Linked DNA regions of Drosophila melanogaster. The protein of the gene in region 1 interacts with the protein of each later gene in a pairwise test. Each region holds a gene or a part of one and is shown in the gene's direction. Other genes may lie near its edges. The genes, in order: Map60, emp and CG14881.

Region 1 (7,173 bases):
AGCATCCTTTCTAATCCGCCGCTAATCCATCCACCCTTCCAGGTCCACTCCATTCCGCATTCGCGTGCGCCTGGCGCGTCGCCGCAACGACGATGAGGACTCCCCCAACAAGCTGTACACTTACGTGACCTATGTGCCGGTGTCCACGTTCAAGAACTTGCAGACCGAGAATGTCGAGTCCAGCGACGACTAAGCAACGTAATTGACGGCCAAGAAAACACGGTTAATAAAAAGTAATTTTTATTTAGAAAAAACAAACAAAACAAGTGACTTAAAGTGTAGTAAACTGTGGCTGCAGCAAGTAGACCGACTCCTCCGTGGCCATGGACAGCAGTCGCAGCTTATGGCTGGGCAGATAGAGCACCTCCAGGGCATGAGCCTTTGGCAAGGCGCTGTCGCCGAGGATTTGCTGGAATCCCGCTGCTCCGCGGTGCTGGTAGATGCGAAGCGGTTGCTGCGGCAGTACGTTGGACACACAGAGCAGTAGATCGTCGGACTCGGGCAGGTGCATAAAGCGCATTACCCGCGACTGTTGGGAGTCCTCGAGCTCCAGGACTTGGTCCAGTTGGAAGCTGCTCGTGTCTGGGCTGCCGAAGCTGCAAAACGAGTGAAATCCTTGTAAATGCCCTATGCGTGAAGTGCTTATGAATATCTACCTGTAAATCCGAATCTCTGCTGCTGGCGATGAAGCCATCAGCGCCACATATCCGCTCTCTATGCCAGCACCTCCTTGACTAAGAGCCATTTGCTCCACCTGCCCATCTATCAGCCTGCTTGATAGAGAGTAATTGCCATTACTCCACTTCCAAAGCTCCACCGCTCTGGGAGTACGAAGTAGAATGGTCATATCATCTGAATCAGCGACCGGCAACAACTGTTTTACGGCCCGCCTGGGCAAGATTGCTTCCCTGCTGTTGTTCTGCTCATCTAGGCATCGGATTACTATCTGGTTCTCCTCTTGAAGTGCCCGGCACTGAAATCCATATGATCTGAATTGCAGTTTCTGCGGGTTCTGTGCCTCCTCATTGATTGGATTCAAGTTTGTCTTGTTTAGTTGTGTCAGTGCTGTGCCTACAAAAAGGAAAGCAGTGTTTTATAGATGTGTCCGTGGAATACTCTTCCTATAATTCCACTCCAAATATAGGCTATACGGATAGGACTTTATCGATATTAATAGGTGGTTTTTTGCCTATATCTTAATCTATGTTGAAACATTTTCAAGTTTTAAAATATTGCTTAAACCAATTTGAAAATGTGTACGACTCTTTTAGAGGGTATATCAAAACAACAGATAAGAAAGCAAAACAGTGAGGTTAGACTGCTAGCATTTAAAAGCAGAACTCGACCATTTTCCGGCAGAACAGGGACAGATTGTGATACACCAAGACTTCTCGTAGAGACCATTACGATTAACCATGAGAAGGCACTTGCGGGCAAGTCTTTGGATCCTTTGTTTGGCCACCATGGCGTTTTCCATCCTTGCGGCAGTAAATACTTCGCCCAAACCAACGCTGACTTCGGCGTTTAGGTGAGCAGCGCATACAGCGTATTCTTTGTTCGCTAAGATCCGCCCCTTTGCAGTGGAAAAGCTGGCACCACTGCCGTGAAGGCGAATAAGACGACGGGTGAGCTGCTGCCCATGGTCATTAACACTTGGAACTTCACGGCTGCCAATGTGCTCGCCTGGCGAATCCTGAAGCAAAGCAAGGGTGGACTCCGGCAGACGCGGAATGCGGTAGTGGAGGGCTGCTCGAAGTGTGAGAAACTCCAGTGTGACCGAACGGTGGGCTATGGCGGATCGCCGGACGAGTTGGGCGAAACCACACTGGATGCCATGGTCATGGACGGGGCCACCATGGATGTGGGGGCAGTGGCTGGTCTGCGACGCATTAAGGATGCCATTAAGGTAGCCCGGCATGTTCTGGAACACACGCAGCACACCATGCTGGTGGGTGATGCGGCGTCAGCTTTCGCCAATGCTATGGGATTCGAATCAGAGTCGCTGGTCACGCCGGAGTCGAAGGACATGTGGTTACAGTGGACGGCTGAGAACTGCCAGCCAAACTTCTGGAAGAACGTTCACCCGGATCCCAAGGTCTCTTGCGGCCCGTATAAGCCGCGGCCGACTCCGCTGACCCGCTGGAAGGAGGACCGTGCCCGCAATGAGTATGAGATCGGACGCAAGAACCACGATACCATCGGCATGATCGCCATCGACGTGGAAAGCAACATCCACGCCGGCACCTCCACCAACGGGGCGCGGCACAAGATTCCCGGACGGGTCGGCGACTCCCCCATTCCGGGTGCTGGCGCTTATGCAGACAACGAGGTGGGTGCAGCCGTGGCAACCGGAGATGGAGATGTGATGATGCGCTTCCTGCCCTCCCTGCTAGCGGTGGAGACCATGCGGGCGGGAAAACCTCCGGCTGAGGCAGCTCAAGAGGGCCTTCGCCGCATTCTCAAGCACCACAAGGATTTCATGGGTGCTCTCATCGCCGTAGATCGGCTGGGTAATTATGGCGCTGCCTGCTACGGCCTGGCCGAATTCCCCTTTATGGTTAGCAGTCCAGCCGGAGCGGATGGGCCTACGCGCTTGGAAACGGTCAAATGCATAGGTGGTCAGGACAAAGTAAATATCGTGGCGTTGTGAGGTGGCGAAAACTGTAACGTATTTCAATAAAATTTAAATTTCGTGGAGTTCTCATCTGCAATATAAATTGCGTTATTTGTTTGTCCCTATCGGCAGCAAGATAGACGGGTAGTTTTACCGTAAATTAGCGGTATTAAGAATTATCGATATGTAAGGATCCTTACATAAAATAAATAAATAAAGTATGAGAATAGAATAGAAAAAGACAAAACAAAAACCATTCCTTCGATAGTTATGACTACCAAAATGAATAACTTTTCCTTATGGAGAAACATTATAATTGTTATATAAGTAAAAATAATGCAAGTATTAATATTTATAGTGATAAATATAATATATAAAAATTTAATTTTCACTGCATCGAGAGCTGTGAACTGTGAACATCTATGTTGCCAAAATCTCCCTCATCCCTAAGTTACTGTACCAAAAGGCGGCATTTCTAGTATTTGCGTGTTGCACGGTCACATTTTCCGCCAATTTACCGACGCCAAATACAGAAGAAAAGAGAAGCGAACGGTGCGAAAGCGGAGAGAAAAACAAGCGGATCCTAGTTACATATACCAATTCGTGTGTCGCGTGTTATCAAAACAGCCTCCAAAATTATCAGGAACGCGCAACCAGCGGGCCGCAAGTCGCTGACTAAGATGGCAATCCAACTGGACAAGATTCTGCAGGACATCGCCAAAGAAAAGGTGCTGCATCCAAACAATGGCGGCGCCAGCAAGCAGGAGCAGGAGGAGGCGTGGGCCAGGATCGGGCGTCTCAACAAGCTCTCTGTGCACGAATCGCGCTCCATCTTCATAGTGCTCCAAAAGAAGTACGAGCAGGAAAAGCTAAAGGGCAATTCGGCGTGGAAGCTCTTCAGTCTGATGCATCAGATCCATCAGGAGCCTAAAATCTCAATCAAGGAGGAGAAGTAAGTGGCGTAAATAGTCCTCTAACCGTGAAACACTAACAAAATTTCTACTGCTATTCTGCAGTGATCAAGTACCCATGGAGGAGGTGGAGGAGTACGAAATGCTGGAGGTGCAGGAGCCTGAGGACGAGGATGACGCCCATCAGTACGGACAGCACACCAACTCTACCGGCTCGGCGTCCTCCGACGGCGAAAGCCCCACAAAGTCACACAGCACCGGTTCGCCAGAAAAGGACGAGCGGTTGGCGTACGCCAAACCCAACGTCGACACTCCTCGCCCAGCCATCGAGGAGAAAAAGCTGCTCAACACACTGGCTAACAACACACCGCGAAGTAGCTCGCTGTCCGCCGCCGCAGCAGTACTGCAAAAGAAGGGAATTACTGTGAAGAAGACGCCCAGCTCCGCAGCAGCACCGAAACCGGCTATTGGGCAACAGGCGCCAGCCAGTGGGCAAAGATCAAGCTCCTCGCGCACCACCATTCAGCTGCCAGATTCTTTGAAGCGCAAACTTTCGGAGGAGTACACCTCGTCATCGGCGCAAAAAAAGCAGACCAAGACCACGAGCCCGAAACAAGCCGCTTCATCGGCAGCCGCAACTTCAGTGCACACCAGCGTTCCAGATCAACTGCCGGCGGGAAACAATGTGGTGCACACAACCACTGCCCAGCTGATGCAGGTTAAGAAGGAGCGTGAGGACAACCAGACACCACCGCCGGGTATCAACATCATCACCATTCCATCGGCACAACAGATAAACGGTGGTGGTGGGGGAGCGAACTCATCGACAGCCGCCACCATTGCTTCCACCTCGGTGGCTTCCACAAACGGCTTTTCGCCACACATCGACGAGCTGGACTTTAAGAATGACATTATCTTCGGGCCGAAGATCAACGCCGCCTCCTCCAATACACCCGAGATTATCAACCTGGGCAACTTTGACAACTCGCTGCCGCCAACCTTTTTCAAGAATCTATGCAACTCGTCGCGACACGAGTCTCTCGGGCTGTACGTGGCCAATGTGATGAACAGACTCTCTTCGCGTGCCTCCGCCAAGCTGGAGCTGTCCATCTTGCGCGCCATCCTCGATGTGCAGAGCGACGAACTGGAGCAGTAGACCGACTGATACTCGCAATTTAAATGATTACTCAGCTTACTTATTAGACAAACTAAAAAGGTAGTTATGTAGTAGGCCTGTCTGAACCATTTCTCGTATTTATCGTATTATTTTTTCCGTGTTCAAACGTCTGCGTTCTGTGCCGCCCACTTGTAAAATGTATTTACTCACAGTTCTGGTATGAGTGTTCATAGCATTTACGCATGAATTTTAAAGCTAAATTTAAAATGTATTTCTAATATTTGAGATTTCGAATTTGTCCCTATTTAAGGTTGAATATGCTACTTGATTTTAAAATACGTTTATATGCAAATAAATCTACATAACTTACTTGAACTTCGCCCAAAAAGATGTATATCCGGTTGCCATGTGTAAGTAGTCCCTACTTCGCTGGGCATCTGCTCCCAGATGGCCAGTACGTCCTCGTTGTCCACGGAGATGATCTTCATGTGCGAGGCCTTATGAGGTAATTTCTGCAGCACAGCAAAGCCTTCCAGCACTTTAGGCGGCTCTGTTGGTTGAATTTAATGCACATGACTAAAGGAGAATTTGTATTAATGTGTTTTTAACATACTGGCCAATCTGTTTTTAATAGCTGCCACATTTTCCTGCAGCTGCTGCCAATCATGAATGTCATTCGATTCGACACCCCGCTTTTTCTTGTAATATTTATCCAGCAGCCCATTTCCGTTGCCCGCTTCGTAGTGACCCACAGTGAGGGGCTGGGTGAAGATCAGTTGGCTTTCCACGTGAAGATTGGGACGGTTTTCTGCCTTGCTGACCAGTAACTCGTTAACGGGCAGATCGTTGACGAAATCCACCCAGAGATTCTTCACATTATTGCTCATAACTCGCTTCTGTTCGGGAAGACTATTCGCCACCAGCAGGGAGCCCGGTATATCCTGCTCATTGTCCATCAAAATGAGCTTGTCCGCCTGCCAGGGGACACCATTTACAGACCCGTTCACGGTAAGATCGTTGTAGAGATTGACATTATTCAGATGAGTAATGCCAGAAATACTGTGGTTCCCGTAAAGGTAGGCTGCTCCATGGATCCACTTGGCCACAGGCACATCCGCCACCTGGCTTTCAGGGGTTGTATGGAGACGATTTATAGTGCCGCCCTGGACAGTTTTCAATGCTTCGACTATCAAGGGAAGATTGATACTGTCATTTTGAAGAGGCATTCTAACGACATCATTAGCAAGGTTTAAATTATTTATGTAAATATCGTTTAGATTTCCCGAAATAAAGGCCTCAGGCAGTTTCCAATATCCACTTATAGCGTGAGAGCCGGCTGTTTTCAACGAGTGAGTTACAAAATCATCAAAATCTAGGGAGAAGTTGCTAAGAAATGAAAAAGATTTATTTTAATATAGTATTAACCATTTGGTAGCATGGTATTCCTCACAAAATTCCAGGCGAGAGTAAAGCCATGTATAAATTTAAAAAATGTTTTATAGAGTAGTACTTATATTTATGATCCGAAAATGATTTATAATTAATCTTTTAATCCCAAGTTCTATAAATTCGATTTATATTTAAATTCAACGATTATTGTAGAGATCGATAATAGTTGTGAAAACATCGATATACCGATGCTTCTGCCATCCCCAGCTGCCAGGCGTTTGGGATTCTAGCGAAGACGTTTTTGTTGTTTCAAATCACAAACCTCTGCTCTGCCGAAACTGCCCGACCGTAAAAAGTGCATTTAACCAAACCCAATCAGCGACCAATTGACAAGGTAATTAAGCACACCTGCGAGTGTTCGAATTAAGTGCAACCCCCGCCCCGCGCTACGTACAAACGTGTACAGAAATTTCACCTGCCAAACGGAATGCACAGCTGACTTCTGCGGATGCAGTGACTCTAAAACTGTTAGCGCGTAAACAATTGCGAAAGTGAAACGTGATACCAACTTTACCCCTGTTCATTGCCCCCTGCCCCTTGATCATTTGGTCAATTTCACTTACCTACTGGTGCCCTCCATTAAAACGCCGCTGCTGCCACGTCGTAGTTTTACGTATTTGGCAACTGGAGGCTGTGCGAACGTGACGTCATGCTGGAAGCTCAGGGGAGTTTTCAGCAGATTGCTACGCGTCCGGCTGAAGTAGTTGTGAGTTATATGATCCACTTGGTGCCCGTTGATGGGTCCCTATGGGGAAAGGTGTTCTTGTAAACAACATAGGTTTCTACTGTGCAATACCCACTCACCTGGAATTCCAGCAGGCCTTCGAATTGCCCAGATTCCAGTTTTATTTCTCTCAACTCAATCTGCTCGTTGTCCAGCCACACCTGATCAAGAAGGTTTCCTAGATTGTGGCCATTCAGGAGCTGATAAGAGGGTTCTCCGCCAAACTTAACATTCTCCGCCACAAAGGTGCGCACATTTTGCCCACTTAAATAGATCTCCAACGCCTCCAGAGGATAACCATTCAGGTTGGTTATGTTGGACAATTTTAAAGCCTCCAGGTCACCATCTACGCTAACGG
Region 2 (8,051 bases), about 15 Mb from region 1:
GGTTCATTGAACACATAAGAAAACTGAGCACCTCCTTTTAAATTGCTATAATTCACACCTAATAGTTAATACGTTGTAGAACCTAATTCAATTTCTTTGCTCGTTGTGCTAATTTTAAACTATTTTTGACGCACCAGACAGATTTTTAACCATGCGCTTACAAATGTTTCCACGAACTAATCGGGGTTTCAATTCCGAGAGCCTTGGTTGCTTCGGAGCTTGTGGATCTGCCCGTGCTGAATTCAAAGTTCAACCGTATGTGTTCTAGCCTTATCAGCAGCTCCTGCGTACATAAGCTTGGCACATACTTACTAGGCATTAATTCATTATTAAATGGAAACAACACGTATCAGTATGGGCACTATATGTATAGAGTTGAGATTTAGTTCGATTCGCCAACTCTGAAATCGGGTCAACGGCATCCGATAACGCGCTCCCTGGGTGTTTAAATTTTCCAATAATGCGGTCGATCTTGAACTCGAATGTGAACGGAATTGAAATAATTGGTGAAACGGTCGGGTGAAACGATTAAATTGATAGTGGAATTAGCTGTTTTCAAAAAAAAATAGGACCAATCTGAAAAAAGTCCGAAGCACTCTTCTCTGATTTCTGGAACTTTCGACATCAACCGAGGACTATCTTAAATCGGCGGTCAAAGGAAATCTGTATATCTTGACAATTTTGAATCCTAGGCTGTGATTGCTTCCACTGTGATATATTAGGGTCTGATCTAAGGATGGTATGCTTTTACTCTGCAGTTCACTCTAACTTACTTGTCGACCTCTTGAAATCGCAAATGGTTCGTACTTCTCTCCGCGCTCCTCCTCTGCGTTTCAGTTGCAGAAAAGAGGCATTGGCTGATAACGTGATGCGTGGTGATAGAAAGGGGGTGAGTGGGTGGCACTGAGCTGGAGAGCGCCTGCAAAGAGCGCGGTCACGATCAACGTGCACTTGGAATGAGCTTTGGGGCACCAGCTGATTTTCGGTGGGCAACACAAACGTGCGCGCTCCGTTGGAATCGGAACCACTCTCTCGGAGACGAACTGCACCCACACGCGCTTATCTGGCGTTCTCTGCCACTCTCTTTCACGTTGTTTACTCGCTGTTCAGTGCTCTGCACTTTCGAAGTCTGCCAAACATTTGGCGTCTTAATTAACAATTTCGTCGCGTTTACGCTGGCTGAACACAGTCGTGTTTATTGGGTTTTTTTCGGGTCTCATTCCGCTCCCCTACCGATAGATACTCCTGCTGGATGCACCACCTATGAGATGTATCTATGCGACAGACTCGTTTTGTATCTGGTGTCTGTATCTGTGCCTCTGTGTTCCTTCGTTCTTTTGTTGCTGCGCGTTCTTTGTTCGCCCGCTTCTTTGTTTTGTCGCCGTCTCTTTTGTGGGCTCGATCGCACTGGCTGGTCTGTTGTTGTTTTAATTCCAGCTGCAGCTGGAGCGTAGAGTTGAAGCTAGAGTTAGAGCTAGAGCAATATCAGGTTTTCCAACCGTACTGCAGTTTTCCTGTCCAGATGTAAGTGCACGAATCTAGCGCATATTAGTTTCCGCCGCCACTTCCACTTCAAAGCAGCAATTAAAGACGGACTGCCTTGCGGAATTTGATTATCTGCGCACGGAGTTCGAGTTTGGCCCACTGCCACCGGTTGATCCACTTGCAAATTTTTGGTTTGCTGCGATTAGCTACATACTCGGGCCGGCCCACGCACTATCTGGCCGAGAACCTTACGGAACCGATTAGATTTGGCCCGTTTCGCGGCGATCCGATCTGCGCTGGGATTAGAGAGCGGGCCTGGAACTGGGACTGGTTCTCCGCTGGACTGGACTGTGCGTACTGCCGACCAAACAAGTTATTACTACGACGTCGGAATCGGACGGAATCAGTTCGAGCTGGGCAACTGAACTGAGCAATGCCAGCAGAGCAGTCGCTCCTCTTTCCTCATTCTTTGCTGTCGCAGTTGCCGTCGCTGCATAGGTCGACGCCGCTGCCGCCGCACTGATAACCGGGCAGGCGGTCAGCTATGATTGCAGATTACCGCTGGACGGAGCCGGCGCCGACTGCGCTGTCGAGAAATCAAGAAATCGGGATCCCTTGTTTACTACGTAGCAGCTTTGTGCGTACCCGCGAGACAAAGTGCAAAGCAAATCGTCAAAACAATGAATCCACTCGGAGCATTATATAAGATGTACCAAACCTCCAGCTGCTCGTTCCGCTCCAGCTTCGTCTGCGCATCATTATTATTGAATCAGAATGGATTCGTTAAGGAGGAGGCTCAGAAACGGAGGCTTTATAGATTTCCTTTAAAAAGTGTAAATAAACCAGTCGATGTTTTGTTTTCGTTTTGATTTTATATTATGGCACGCTGATGCAAATATTTAAAAAGTCCCATAACTATTTTTAGGTGTGCGCTGTCGCCAAAACAATTTAAATATCCCTTAAGTACTTGGGTTCCCTTTACCCATGGACCTGCATTTGGTTTACCCAAGTAATTAACGGCGGTGAAATGCACTCTGAGAACTGCGACGAATACACAAATGCTGAATATGCTTTCATATCTTGCTCTCGTTTGTAATTTTGAGACGAGGACGTATTTAAACTGGCTTATCGCGCCCCTTCTTGGATTATTGAGATGGCAGAAAGGCCGGAAGATCGCAAATACCCCCGCCGGAGCCGTGTTATTGAACCCCAAGTGTAAATGAGCTTAGCTTTATCAATTCAAGTATTCCGCCGTTTCAAAACGTCCCTTTTCCGAAATGCCTGCCTATTGCCCACCTCATCGGGTTTCGCATCAGCACAGTTGATAGCCGCTCTGAACTTTTTGTTTTCCTCTGATCGGTTGACGCGCACGGGTATTCAATCTCTTAATCTGTCGTGCTAGCTACTGGCCCCTCAATTTCGCAGACCTGCCTGAAATATTAACCTGAGCACTCTCGACGGACCAGTTAATTGTGCGGTGTTCAAGTTCGGCTGACAGCTCAAGGGGCTAAATGAGTTACTTAAACTTGTTTTAGGGTCTCCCGTAAGCCGCCCTCGACAGATGTTTGCTCGTGCCGGTTATTATCGGCTAGTGCCCACTACCCTTCGACCGCTTACAGGAATCTTATCACCCGAGTGAGCTGCCTTATCAACCCGGTTGCCAGGCAGTAAAGTGCCAAACAATTCACAAACACAATCGAATATCAGAACACCAGTACACTGTAGTGAAGCCAAACAGTTGGGAGAGTGCTCAAAACCCTTTGGAACTCTTGAAATCTTAATGGAACTCTGATCGTTGGCCATGCAGTTGGACGACATTCTGCATAGTAAGTCAGAAATGGAATCATTACAGAAGTTAGACTTGGTACTGCTTTCGGGGCTATGATGACACGCCATCGGAGCTGAATTAGCATATGCGTACGCCGTTGTTGTTTTCGCGGTGTTTTTGTTATTATTTATTGCATCATTTACAGCAACAAATGCGCCACTTTGTACGACAGTTTACATAAACAGAAAGGTCGCATGCAACCCGGTTAGCCTTATTGGCATGCAAAGTCACCGCGGAGTCAAGCTTCGGATACGGGTCTCCATTAAGGTGATTATGTGTGGTTGGACTTGGCGTGGAATGTCACAAGCATTGGGGCGATATTGTCTTGGCCTACCTTCTATGTACGTACTACAAAGAAATGTAGAATTATATTTATATTAGTGTGTGACGATTGCCCAAGAGTTAAGGCTTATATTGGATCATGTTATATGTTATGTTATATATTATATAATGCAACCAGATGCGCTACCGCCATGCAACTGAAAGTCCACTATATTTTCAGGGTGGACTTTAGATTTTTCTATGTGCCCGTTGTATTTTCCGTTCTTATAATATTAGATTTTATAATTTGTCTGGGAAAACAGCTTACTTGTTTATTTAGCAAGTCCCAGTTTATGCAGAAGAAGCGATTCACCAGCCGGAATTTCTCCAGCTGTTTACCAAGAAGTCCGTGCATGAAAAGAAAACGTGGGCAATTCATTGAATCGCATTAGCTTTATTGATTTCCCCTTGTTGATTGATTATGTAAATACAGCAAGTTTCTGACGCCAGTTTTTTCCACAGCTGAATCGCGCATATCCTAGACTTCGCTTTGGCGAGATTTTGATTCTGGGCAGGCAGCAAAGAAACGCTTCGCAATGCAGACAAAAAGCTCCATCGACAATAACAATAATTTGAGATCGACGGAGCTGTCAAATTTGCATACATTCTGCATACTGCAACCTGTCGTCGATCGTGGATGTGGTTATTGTGCTGAGTTTGGCAACCAACCCGTGAGTCACCTGCCACAACAACCACAACCGCGAGAGCACTAACGACAGATATCATAATCCCGCGAGTGGACGAGTGTGTTGGTGTGGCAATCAGTGATATTTTTGGAGTTAGTAGCATAAAACGAAACGCGCAACGCAACAAAACGAAAGACTTCAATGCAAGGCAAGGCAACAAACTCGTTTTATCAGCCTGGTCCAAACATTGGCAACCACATGGACCGCCTCGCCCGATGCCGATCCGCTCGTGCTTTGATCGCATGCGTTGCACTAGCAAAACCCAAAAGCTCCCGCTTGCTCACTCTCGCTTTTGCATTGCTACCCACCTGCCGGGCTGGGGGTTTCGCCTACCTGTTTATCAGGTTTTCCAGTTGTGCTTTGTCGCAACGCGAAGCCGAGCTTTCGCCGCCTGAACATCTTACGATCTTACGTTGGGGGGCCACTTGAAGACGGCGACTTCAGTTACTTGACGGCACTGCGAGCGTTCGAGTCGTTAACGATTTTTACCGGCGGTTGTTGCTTAACGTTCCCTGCTCACCGATCAACGATTACCTTCCTCGTTATAGCCCGGGCCCAAGAATCTTGGCTTGTACATCGGACCGCCGCAAGTCCGTGTTACCGTCAAAAACAGTGTGAGTGAGTGAGTTGGCATGGCTATTTGGAAATGCCTGTGGTTTCCAGCCCGTCCAGCCCGAATCAAACCTGCCGCACCAGATACGAGGCACCAGTGGCAGTAAGAGAGTGTTGGGGCAGCAGTGCGAGCCGCATTCCTAGGATTTGCCTGACTACAGCTGAGTTCAATTATTGTTTCTGCCCCGATCGGTAGCAGACCCTTGGTCCCCGTTCCACGGTCCGAGTACGAATCCGCATCCCAGTCACCAACTTCGACTCCAATCAGAGCGCTGGTTAAGCAAGACCTTGCCCAGTCAGCCAAAATGAAACCACTTCGACAGCGAGTTCGCTTAGCAGCGCTACAAAAGCGGAAAATCATTGAATTATGCTTGGGGGCTATGATTTTTCAGTGTTTGTGTTTTTATTTCTGCTTCGGTTTCTGTGCTGCCTCCGCGTCTAAACGCTGTCTGCGGCCCTGCCAAAAGCGCATTTGATGTACGTGCATAGTTTTATGATTACTTGTGTGGAAAAAGTGAAATTTCGCTCTGCACTTCACTCGGGCTGCCACGAAGCAGCGACTCACAGCGAAATCAAATAAAAAGCAAAGCCAAACACACATTTACGAGACGCGAGATCCGAAATTAAGCATGCGCAGGCAAGAAAACCTAAGATAAATACTTATAAATAAATGAACAGGGGCCAGCCAGCTTTTGACCACATAACGAAGACGATTATGTGAAGGTTGCAGCAGCAAAGAGCTTTGGGCCATCTCCGTCATCAGGTCGGTTTGCCCTACCGCTGTGCCCAGTTGATCATCTAATTGAGGTGACAATTGGGTGGCTTTGTCTTAGCCAACTGTTGACACATTTCACTGAGAAAGCCATCGCACGCTTCGCACTCCGAAGTCCCCTGTCTCTCCCACGGCGGAACTGACCCACTGAAAGTCCAAGATGAACCACTTCAGTCCGCACATGTCTGTCACGCCATTGACGACGACACCAACATGGTTTAAGTCCTAGATGTAAAACCCATTTCGTTGCGTATTATCAAATGCAGCACGGCACGACAAAACGGCAAGTGAATTGTCATCCGCTGGCATACTTTTTTGGACGGTCAGTGTCACATTGTCCATAATCAGCGGGATCATATAAAGAGGGGTCGGTCCGAAGTTTCAAATACTCTTTAAAGCTGTGTTTGGGAATTTTCTGGAGCTTTGATTGAAAACCCGTGGAAAATCTTTTTCCCTACAAAGCCCCGATAGAGGCAAGAAATAGTGCAGACATCTTGGTTGACAGTGACTTGTAGGAGTGCAACTCTGAATGTAATACCCTCCGCAAGGGTAGCGTCTCACAATTTGGGTCAGGGTAATTGCCTCCACTAAACAGCTACTACCGCTTGTATTTATTTGTGCAACACTTTTTCACTGCGTTTAAATTATGAGACGATTCAGCTCGATCTCTGCGCCACCAAGCTGATCAAAGCCGAGGAGCGGATGGCTTCGCCGCAATACCGCTTTCGGCTCAGCTCATACCAAACGTGTGTTTAGAAAGTAAGTTTCTATTGAAGTTGGATTCTGGCCAGGCGATTTGCGTTAGGAAGCCAGCAGCTGCTAATTGAACAGCCACAGCAAGTGAAATCAAAAATAAAACAAGCCATTACATCAGAAATCGCAGTTGGATGGAATGCCGAGAAGCGCTATTGTTATGGAAAGGTGTTGCTGGGTCTAGGGTTTCCCGTTTCACAGATTTGCATACTTCGCGGCGAGCTCGACGCTGATAAGAGTCGCTCAAGTTCTGGGTAAACACTTGGCAACGCTGAGTCATACGGTCTGTGTAAACATTTGGGCCCGACGGGTACTGATTCCGAGCAGTGAGCAGGCTGCACGGTTGCAGTCGTTATTCGGAACAAAGCAGCCCAGTGGGGCGTGAACGCAGAGCCCAATTAGCAGGCAAAGAGCCAAACAACTGAAGGCATGGGTAGCCAAATCCAAATTGGAAATCACTGATTAATGGCCTGACCGACCAGTGTCGCCGAAAATTCATTTGAGGTGAAATAATTATTATTATTATATTATGGTTAATTAGTATTCAATGGGCATCGGTATCGGCATCGGCAACGTTAGCGGCGATGCCAACAATGGTGGATCCAATAGCCATCTGAATACAACAGCGCAAATATTTAAGCCCAGCTCGAGTTCGGTGGGCGAGGGCAGAGCCAGAAGCGGAGAAGTGCGACCTTGTGGTGCTCGGAAAGCGCAGTAAACTCGGCAAATAATAAAACTTCGTGGCTGTGTGCGTTGATAGGCTAGAGCGAACTCAAAGTGCAAAGTTTAGCGCTTATAGCTAAAACAGTGGAGAAATCGTAAAATCACTAGCGATTTTCGAGAGCATCCAAGAATCATACCCTCTATTACGACGGGGTGGACTCGTGGAGCATACGAGCCACATAACTCCATCTGGACTTCGTGAAACCCATATAGCACCGATAAACGGCCGTTTGTATGCACTTTGGGGGAACTGAATCGAACGTCAAGGGACCACTCGATCAGAATGCAATTAAAGTGTTTCTATTGTCTACGGCCGTGCAACGCCTGCAAATGGCCTGCCGACTATTAGCCGAAATCCATTTGGCATCATGTCGCTTCATTTGCATGGTTTTTTCGGCTTCGCTTATAAATATGAATAATGGCGAACAGCGCTGTGGCTGGAATTGTCAATAATAAAAATGTCTCGGTTTACGAACGAAAAATACAAGTATCTCATGTGTTTTGCGCTTGCGCAGCCCTGGCCTCGGTCAAGGTAGCTCACAGGTTGACCTCAGCGCAGACCGAGCCTGTTGGCCCATTAAAAATCGCTTAATGGCGCAAGGTCCGACTCTGTCAGGAAGGGCGCACTCGACTGCTGGAACAAAGTTCGCTGACTCGAAGGTTCTGGAGTCAGAGCGCCGTTGGGTTGGACTGCCGGATTGGTTTTGTTGGCTTTTGTGCTGCTGTTAATACGATTTCGGCCAAAAGCCCGCATATTGACAAAGCGATGTCAAAACAGCACAAGGCTAACACGCCCCAAAACGTGTCTTGGGTCTTTGGGCCTCGGATTCTCGTTAAAATACGGCAGTTGCATATGGAAAGACTGGGCAAA
Region 3 (6,708 bases), on another chromosome or scaffold:
CCCACTGTGGTAGGTCCAATGATCATTGATTCTTATAGATTTACACTTGCATATTGACATATTGGCATATGAAATTGCACATTCCACATTTGCTTACAGTCTCTGTACAACCGTGTGGGCAGCTGCCCCATTCTAATCTCAGCCACAAGTGCCCACGCTACGGATGCAGTGGCAACCGCGAGGCAGGTGCTGCACTTTGACACCCGCTTTGAGACCCTGGATCCGCACGGCAACAAGCTGCGCCGGCGGAAGGATTACAAGGACTGTCGCAACTGGGACAAGGATTACCTGCGCAACTGCACACCGCTGAACTGTGAGGAGCGTTACTTTGGGAAACGGAGCTTTTTCAATAGGGAAACGGAACAGTGCGAACCGGTGACTGATTGCTCGGCCCCAGGCGAGTACTACGACATCTTCAGCAACGAGCGCGTCGATCCTGGCAATTTCGTGTCCGAGGAGGAGCTGGACCTCATTAAGCAAGGAAAGTTCGACTTTAATTTTTTGGATTTGCGGGGGCCACCATCGGTAAATATTGTTAATACCAATAACTTTTTGTTTTTACCTTTTCTAAAATATTGAAAATCTGCGTGCGTTTAAATACCCATATCAACGCATTCTCACAGGCGCCATCTTACGTATTTGGCTTGAAGCTCGTGCACTGCTTGCATCGCAACAATGGGGTCAAGCAGTGCGTGCGTATGTACAAATTTTTTGTTGAGGAAGCACTAAAGTAAAGTCGTGCCACATGCGTGAATATGGCGCCGTGGCTTAGTTGGTTAAAGCGCCTGTCTAGTAAACAGGAGATCGTGAGTTCGAATCTCGCCGGGGCCTATTGGAACACGATTTGAGTGTGCCAGTAATATTTTTTCTATTATATTTTCTATTTCTATCAAGCTATTATTTTTATATACTAAATTAATCTTACCGTTTAGCAGCATGAGCCGAAAGCCAACAAAGCGCTTCCTTACAAGAAAAATACCAGGCCAACAAGGCACTTTGTCCATTCCAAGCATGAGAAGTCAGATGATTGCGACAATTTGCGTAAGCTAACCCTGGCCGATTTTAACGACTGCTTTCAGCATTTGCAGGATGGTCAGTCCGAGCCGGTCGCAGTTGAACCCACAATCGAGAAGAAAATCAAGAAAAAATCGCCATTTGAGGTGCCCATGCTAACGCAGCTCTATTACGACTGGTATCTTCCTTTAAGGAGCGATAGCTGGGGGGAAGGCGGAGAAATCGGTGCCATAGGTGATCCCAGTCCACAAAATGTCTCATCGGGATCGGAACCCCTCATCACGTGGATCGGCAAGCTGGATTGGAAGGGCTGGCTGTTCCTGATTCTCAGAGGAAGCTTTTTCGTGAGTTTGTGATGTCGGTGCCCGAACAATGTAAATTTATATTATACAATTATTGCAGATCTTATTGCTAATTGTGTTTCAGGTTTTCGCCACTCTGACGGCCTATTTTATAGTGTGTCTATTTGTCTATGGATTTATGGAACTGTATGGCTTGTGGACTAGTGACGATGCACCCGAGACATTTATGTTGGACTCCAGTTCTCAATCCACCGCCTACAATCTCGTCACCACAGAAAGTTTGATGTCACATCGATAACCGAGTTTTAAGAATTTTAAATGTGAATTTATGGTCTTTTTATAAATATTTAATTGTATATTACTGGCTTTAATGTTGGAAATAATGAATTATTAAAATGTAAAATTTTTTAATATCTAGCCAAAGGAAAATAAATCGAGTTTTTGTATAGGGAATACCCTAATCAAATAAAAAGCAGTGTTGCAAGTTGAATTTACATCACACAAACAAAAACCATTCGCTTAAAATTCCTGCTCGGCAAATCTTTTTAGTTTATTTAATTTAATTTAACCGGCTCGGAGTAGAAATGGGAACCGAGGAGGAGCTGATGTTCCGCAACTTCCAGCGCCTGAAAAGCTACATCTTCGACGACGAGAAGGTGTCCACCACCACATCCCGCGAGCAAGTGAGTAATCCCCGAATGTCGCCCAGGAAAAGATAAGAGCCGATGAATACTTGCAGCAAAAGACGGAGAGTTCGGTGGAGAAATGCTTCGACCGCTTCGAGCAGATAATGTTCACCGACCCGCGCCTCACCCAGATCTTCCGGCTGGAGCACCAGTACTACCTGGACGCGATGCTGAGGCGGCTGCCGTCCAATTACGAGTGCCTGGACAGCAGTCGCGCGTGGTGCGTTTACTGGATCCTGCAGGCGGCCCAGCTACTTAGCTTTAACTTCGACGACCAGACATTGAACCACGTGGTCCAGTTTCTAAGCAAGTGCGTCTTTGAAGGATATTTCTCTAATAGGCATCCTTAATGCTCCAATCACTCTTTCATAGCTGCCGTTCGCCGACTGGGGGTTTTGGAGGAGGACCTGGACAGTATGCCCATCTGGCGCCCACCTATGCAGCAGTGAACAGTCTGTGCATCATCGGAAGCGAGCAGGCGTACCGTGCCATAGACCGACCGACTTTGGTCCAGTTCCTGTTCAGTGTACGTGACTCAGACGGCTCCTTCCGGCTCCACGTGGATGGTGAGACGGATGTGCGTGGCGCCTACTGCGCAATCTCCTGCGCAAAGCTGCTAAATCTTCCCGAGCCAGTGATCAAGGAGCTATTTGCCGGCACTGGCGACTGGATAGCCCAGTGTCAGACATACGAGGGAGGATTTGGAGGAGCCCCTGGTCTGGAGGCCCATGGTGGCTACACCTTCTGCGGAATCGCGGGCCTGGCGCTGCTCAACGAGGCTGATAAGTGCGACAGGCAGGCTTTGCTCAAATGGACACTGCGCCGTCAGATGACCTACGAAGGCGGCTTCCAAGGGAGGACCAACAAACTGGTTGATGGCTGCTACTCCTTCTGGGTGGGAGCCACCATTCCCATTACGCAGGCAACGCTATCCGGCGTCGATAAGCAAATGGAGCACACCCTTTTCGATGTGGAGGCCCTGCAGGAGTACATCCTGCTCTGCTGCCAAAAGCAGAGCGGCGGGCTTATCGACAAACCCGGAAAGTAAGGGATTAATGCCAACATTGTGATGTTTTTTAATGTAAAACCCATATTTTCAGACCGCAGGATCTCTACCACACATGCTATACTCTTAGTGGCGTTTCCATTGCCCAGCACTCGGAGTGCGCCAGCAGCCCCCAGGTCCTGGGCGACACCATTAACGAGCTACTGCCTACCCACCCACTGTTCAACATCCCACCAAAGTCAGTTGCAGCTGCCAGGAGCCACTTCAGCAATTCCAATGACACAGAGTTCTTGGGGAAAGACAGTCCCAGCAAGGAGGAGAGTTAAGGCTTCAGGTCAGGAGGAGGAGCCTGCGTAATGAGGACGTTTTGCTGGTGGTTTACCTTTAAAGAACTAAACTTGGTTTAATAAATTAATCTTTGAAATATTGTATTTTTCGCTTCTTGTATAAATGTACTTATTGGAAAAGGAATTGATTAAAATGTTTAACGTTTTCTAAAAAATATTTATGTCATATATTATTTCGAAATAAAATTATTATGTTTTCAAATAAATTCATGTGTGATTTTGTACAACAACCCAATTGCTCATTATAAAAAAAAATGAGATGAAACAAATAACTTTTATAAATGTGGCTTTGAATCCGAAAGCTATTATTTTGCCCCCAATGTATTTCAGCACGTTTATATGTGAATGGTAAAACATGAATAGTTTGCGTTGTGAATGGCATTTTGGGACTGATTTCAAATCGCAGCTTTGCCTTCGCATCCTTTTTATGTTCTCCAGCCACAGGACATTGAAGAGGAGGACGCCTGCCCAGGGCATTGACCGCCGGGAGTACATTGGTCACCTGGTCGATGAGTATTATACGACAACCAACATCGGTAAGGTTTTTATTCACGTCATTTTGCCGGTGTGAATTCATTTTTGATTTTCATTATTAGAGGCCCAGCAGCAGGTGACTGCTAATTTGGCCAATTTTGCATACGATCCCATCAACTGGTCGCATCTCCTGGAGGCGGACGCCTTGGATGTATTTGTGGCATCGCTGGAGACACAGGATCAGCTATTAAAAGTGCACGGAATTGCGGCATTGTGTAACCTTTGCCTGGGTAAGCAAACATTTGATTTTCAAACCAACCTTGTTCATCATATTCTTATTGCAGACAAAACGGCTGCCAAATTTATCAGAGAGCAGCTAAAACTGCTAACCGGCCTCTTTGTGCGCACTGATCACCCGGAAATAGTACTTCACAGCCTGGCGCTCTTTTACCAATTACTGGAATTTGGTGAACGGACTGAACGGGATTTACTTCTGAGCCCTGCGGTGCTAAGGACGGTGCAAGAGTGGCGGGTCAAGGCCCACGATGAACGCATCGTTAAACTTTGTCAGTTGCTGCTGCAAGATTTCGCAACACGCACAGAGGTTGTCCAGCTGCAAAAGGCTTCCCCAAACGTTCCGACAGCTGAGCAGCAAAGCAGTGAAGCAGGTGCAAGTGGTTAAGCGGTTTTCCCAAAGCGATTTGGAGCAGTTTGCCCAGTTCACCGGCGACCACAACTACATCCATAGTCTGGAAACGCCCACCGAGGAGCGCCGCGTCCATGGAGCCCTGCTCAACGCGGTGGTGGCTGGTATAATGGGTACCCAGCTCCCTGGTCCGGGCACCGTGGTTCTAGAGCAGAATTTCAAGTTTCTGAAACCCTGTCGTATTGAGACCGACACCGTGGTGACCGTACGTCTGCTACAATCTCGCAAGATTTCCACCGTGGAGTACGATATAAGGCAGAACGACGAGGTGGTGTTCGCCGGCAGCGCCAAGTTGCTGACTCGCAACTAAAAAGACTAGCTTTGGTTCAATAAAAGTGGATGTTAGAATATTTATTTTACTACTTCTTTGAGGCCCGCTTGCCCTCGCCCTTCTTGGGAGGCGCCTTGCCGCGCAGCTTGCGCAGACGCTTCATCTCCTCCTTGAAGTCCTGGTGCTCATCGCGGAACAGTCCGTAGTCGCGAAGGTTCTTCATCAGCAAGTGCGTCTCCACGTGCCGCGGATACCAGTTGATCACGTAGTCCCGTTTGTGAATTGGTTCCTCCGAGAACATGCGAACCACCTGGGGAAGGTCGGATAAAACATGTTTACATTTTAATTAATAAATTTATTTCGAGAACATACCTTCATGGACTTCTCGTTTGTGGTGCGAGCCACTTCGCCGAAAATGCGATTTGAGAGGTAGTTCATCCGGCGAGCATACTGCGTGCCGACCTTAATCAGCTCCGTGTACTTGTGGGACATAGTTAATATTAGTTTGCTATGCTTTTCATGAAATAATTTAAGTTAAGTTTCTAAGTTTTAGTAAATTGCGGTTATGTCACGAAACAAAAACAAGCGACAGCTGATTTCCAAGTGCAGTTGGCATTCACACAAAAGGCCGACAATAGGGACATTCCTCAAATTTTAAACCTGTATTGACCGTTATTTTAAAGATTATTATAGAACATTTACTTGAAAACTGACTACAAAACAGCACTGGCGTCTATAGACAATTCAGTAAAATTAAAAGTAAAACCTTGTTATAAAAATGAACATATGCGAAATATAAGAAACCCACATTTTAGAACAATAATTTGTGGCTTCCATTATCGAAGGTTCAAAAAACATACTTCTTTACTAATATATATATAGACTTGAGCTCAAATTCGTCAAATTAGTTTTTATTTAAAATGAAAAGGAATTAGAGTATGTACCACCTTATTAGTCAACTGGAATAACAAAATTTTAGCAACAATCTAAGCATAAGGCTGCTTCCAATGTAATACTAAAACTTCTAGTCTATCTTAAACCGTCTCTATGGCCCCCCGTCGCCTGCCCTCCGATCCGCCAGTGGCCTCGTTTCCGTCGCTCCCAATAAAAGAAGTCTCCTCGGAGCTCTGCGTTGGGAGCACTTCACGGTTCAGCCCATTTAACTGGCTTAGCAGGGCGTTAGTTCCCCCCAGGGACGCTTCACGTGGTGAGCCGCTATGACCGGACAGCTGATCGTAGTGGAGCACGCGGATGGGTGTGTGTGAGCGGGAGGCAGGCGAGGGGTTTCCCCGAGAGTGCGGACTGTTGTTCCGTGAGTGCTGGAAGTCCTCGAGAGGAATCTCCTCCGACCTAGAATGAAAAAATATTACACATTTATTTATAACTCGATTAGGTGAAAATTAGTAAATTTTATAATTAACAAACACATAGAATAACGAGGACAGATAAAACTGGAGGGCTTAAAGGCATGCTATTCTTTGTTTATTTGTCAAAATAATATGCAAATAAATATAAAAATATAGGACAAACGATATCTTTATACATAATTATACAAGGTGGTATTACAAGCAAACTTAGTCAATCTTAAAGATTTTTTTTTGGCCAAGGAGCCAAAAATGTAGCAAATTTCGAGAATCATGTAAACAGCTCGATAAATTATAAAATAAACTTTTTGATGTCTTGGGCGTAATCCAATTAAAAAAAATAGAAAGACTAGTTTAGAATACTGCAATACTTTACAAATCTCAATTATAACAGAAACCATTCTAAGACTACAGAGCTAACGAAAATGTTTCATTGTTACCGCGGCCTGGGCATTCTAGGGCTGCTCTCCCGCGACCGATTTCCAGTACTTCTGGGCTGGGAGTTTTCCCGAGACTGCGAGGAGCTGTGGCTGCCCAT

The links.
Region 2: the proteins of Map60 (region 1) and emp interact in a two-hybrid assay, tested with the Drosophila melanogaster proteins (one large-scale study listed by BioGRID).
Region 3: the proteins of Map60 (region 1) and CG14881 interact in a two-hybrid assay, tested with the Drosophila melanogaster proteins (one large-scale study listed by BioGRID).

What each region holds. Positions count from the first base shown.
Region 1 is NT_033778.4:9,587,735-9,594,907, forward strand, and holds Map60 (Microtubule-associated protein 60), read left to right. Parts: upstream 1-3,132; 5' UTR 3,133-3,294; coding exon 3,295-3,566; intron 3,567-3,630; coding exon 3,631-4,681; 3' UTR 4,682-5,010; downstream 5,011-7,173. Other genes in the region: RpL31 (ribosomal protein L31), read left to right, coding at 43-193; clos (closca), read right to left, coding at 272-596, 657-1,071, 5,013-5,192, 5,256-6,028, 6,655-6,836, 6,896-7,173; CG1827 (uncharacterized protein), read left to right, coding at 1,416-1,528, 1,582-2,650.
Region 2 is NT_033778.4:24,979,910-24,987,960, reverse strand, and holds the start of emp (epithelial membrane protein), read left to right. Parts: upstream 1-3,166; 5' UTR 3,167-3,286; coding exon 3,287-3,311; exon of another isoform or gene 3,312-3,402; intron 3,403-3,458; exon of another isoform or gene 3,459-3,580; intron 3,581-4,756; exon of another isoform or gene 4,757-4,934; intron 4,935-6,802; exon of another isoform or gene 6,803-6,961; intron 6,962-8,051.
Region 3 is NT_033777.3:16,431,183-16,437,890, forward strand, and holds CG14881 (uncharacterized protein), read left to right. Parts: upstream 1-3,716; 5' UTR 3,717-3,782; coding exon 3,783-3,891; intron 3,892-3,951; coding exon 3,952-4,119; intron 4,120-4,173; coding exon 4,174-4,385; coding exon of another isoform or gene 4,386-4,473; coding exon 4,474-4,845; 3' UTR 4,846-4,884; downstream 4,885-6,708. Other genes in the region: CG31279 (uncharacterized protein), read left to right, coding at 1-9, 100-525, 933-1,358, 1,417-1,614; Fntb (farnesyl transferase beta subunit), read left to right, coding at 1,901-1,999, 2,056-2,312, 2,375-3,046, 3,103-3,334; mRpS33 (mitochondrial ribosomal protein S33), read right to left, coding at 4,895-5,116, 5,179-5,298; ema (endosomal maturation defective), read right to left, coding at 5,841-6,156, 6,611-6,708.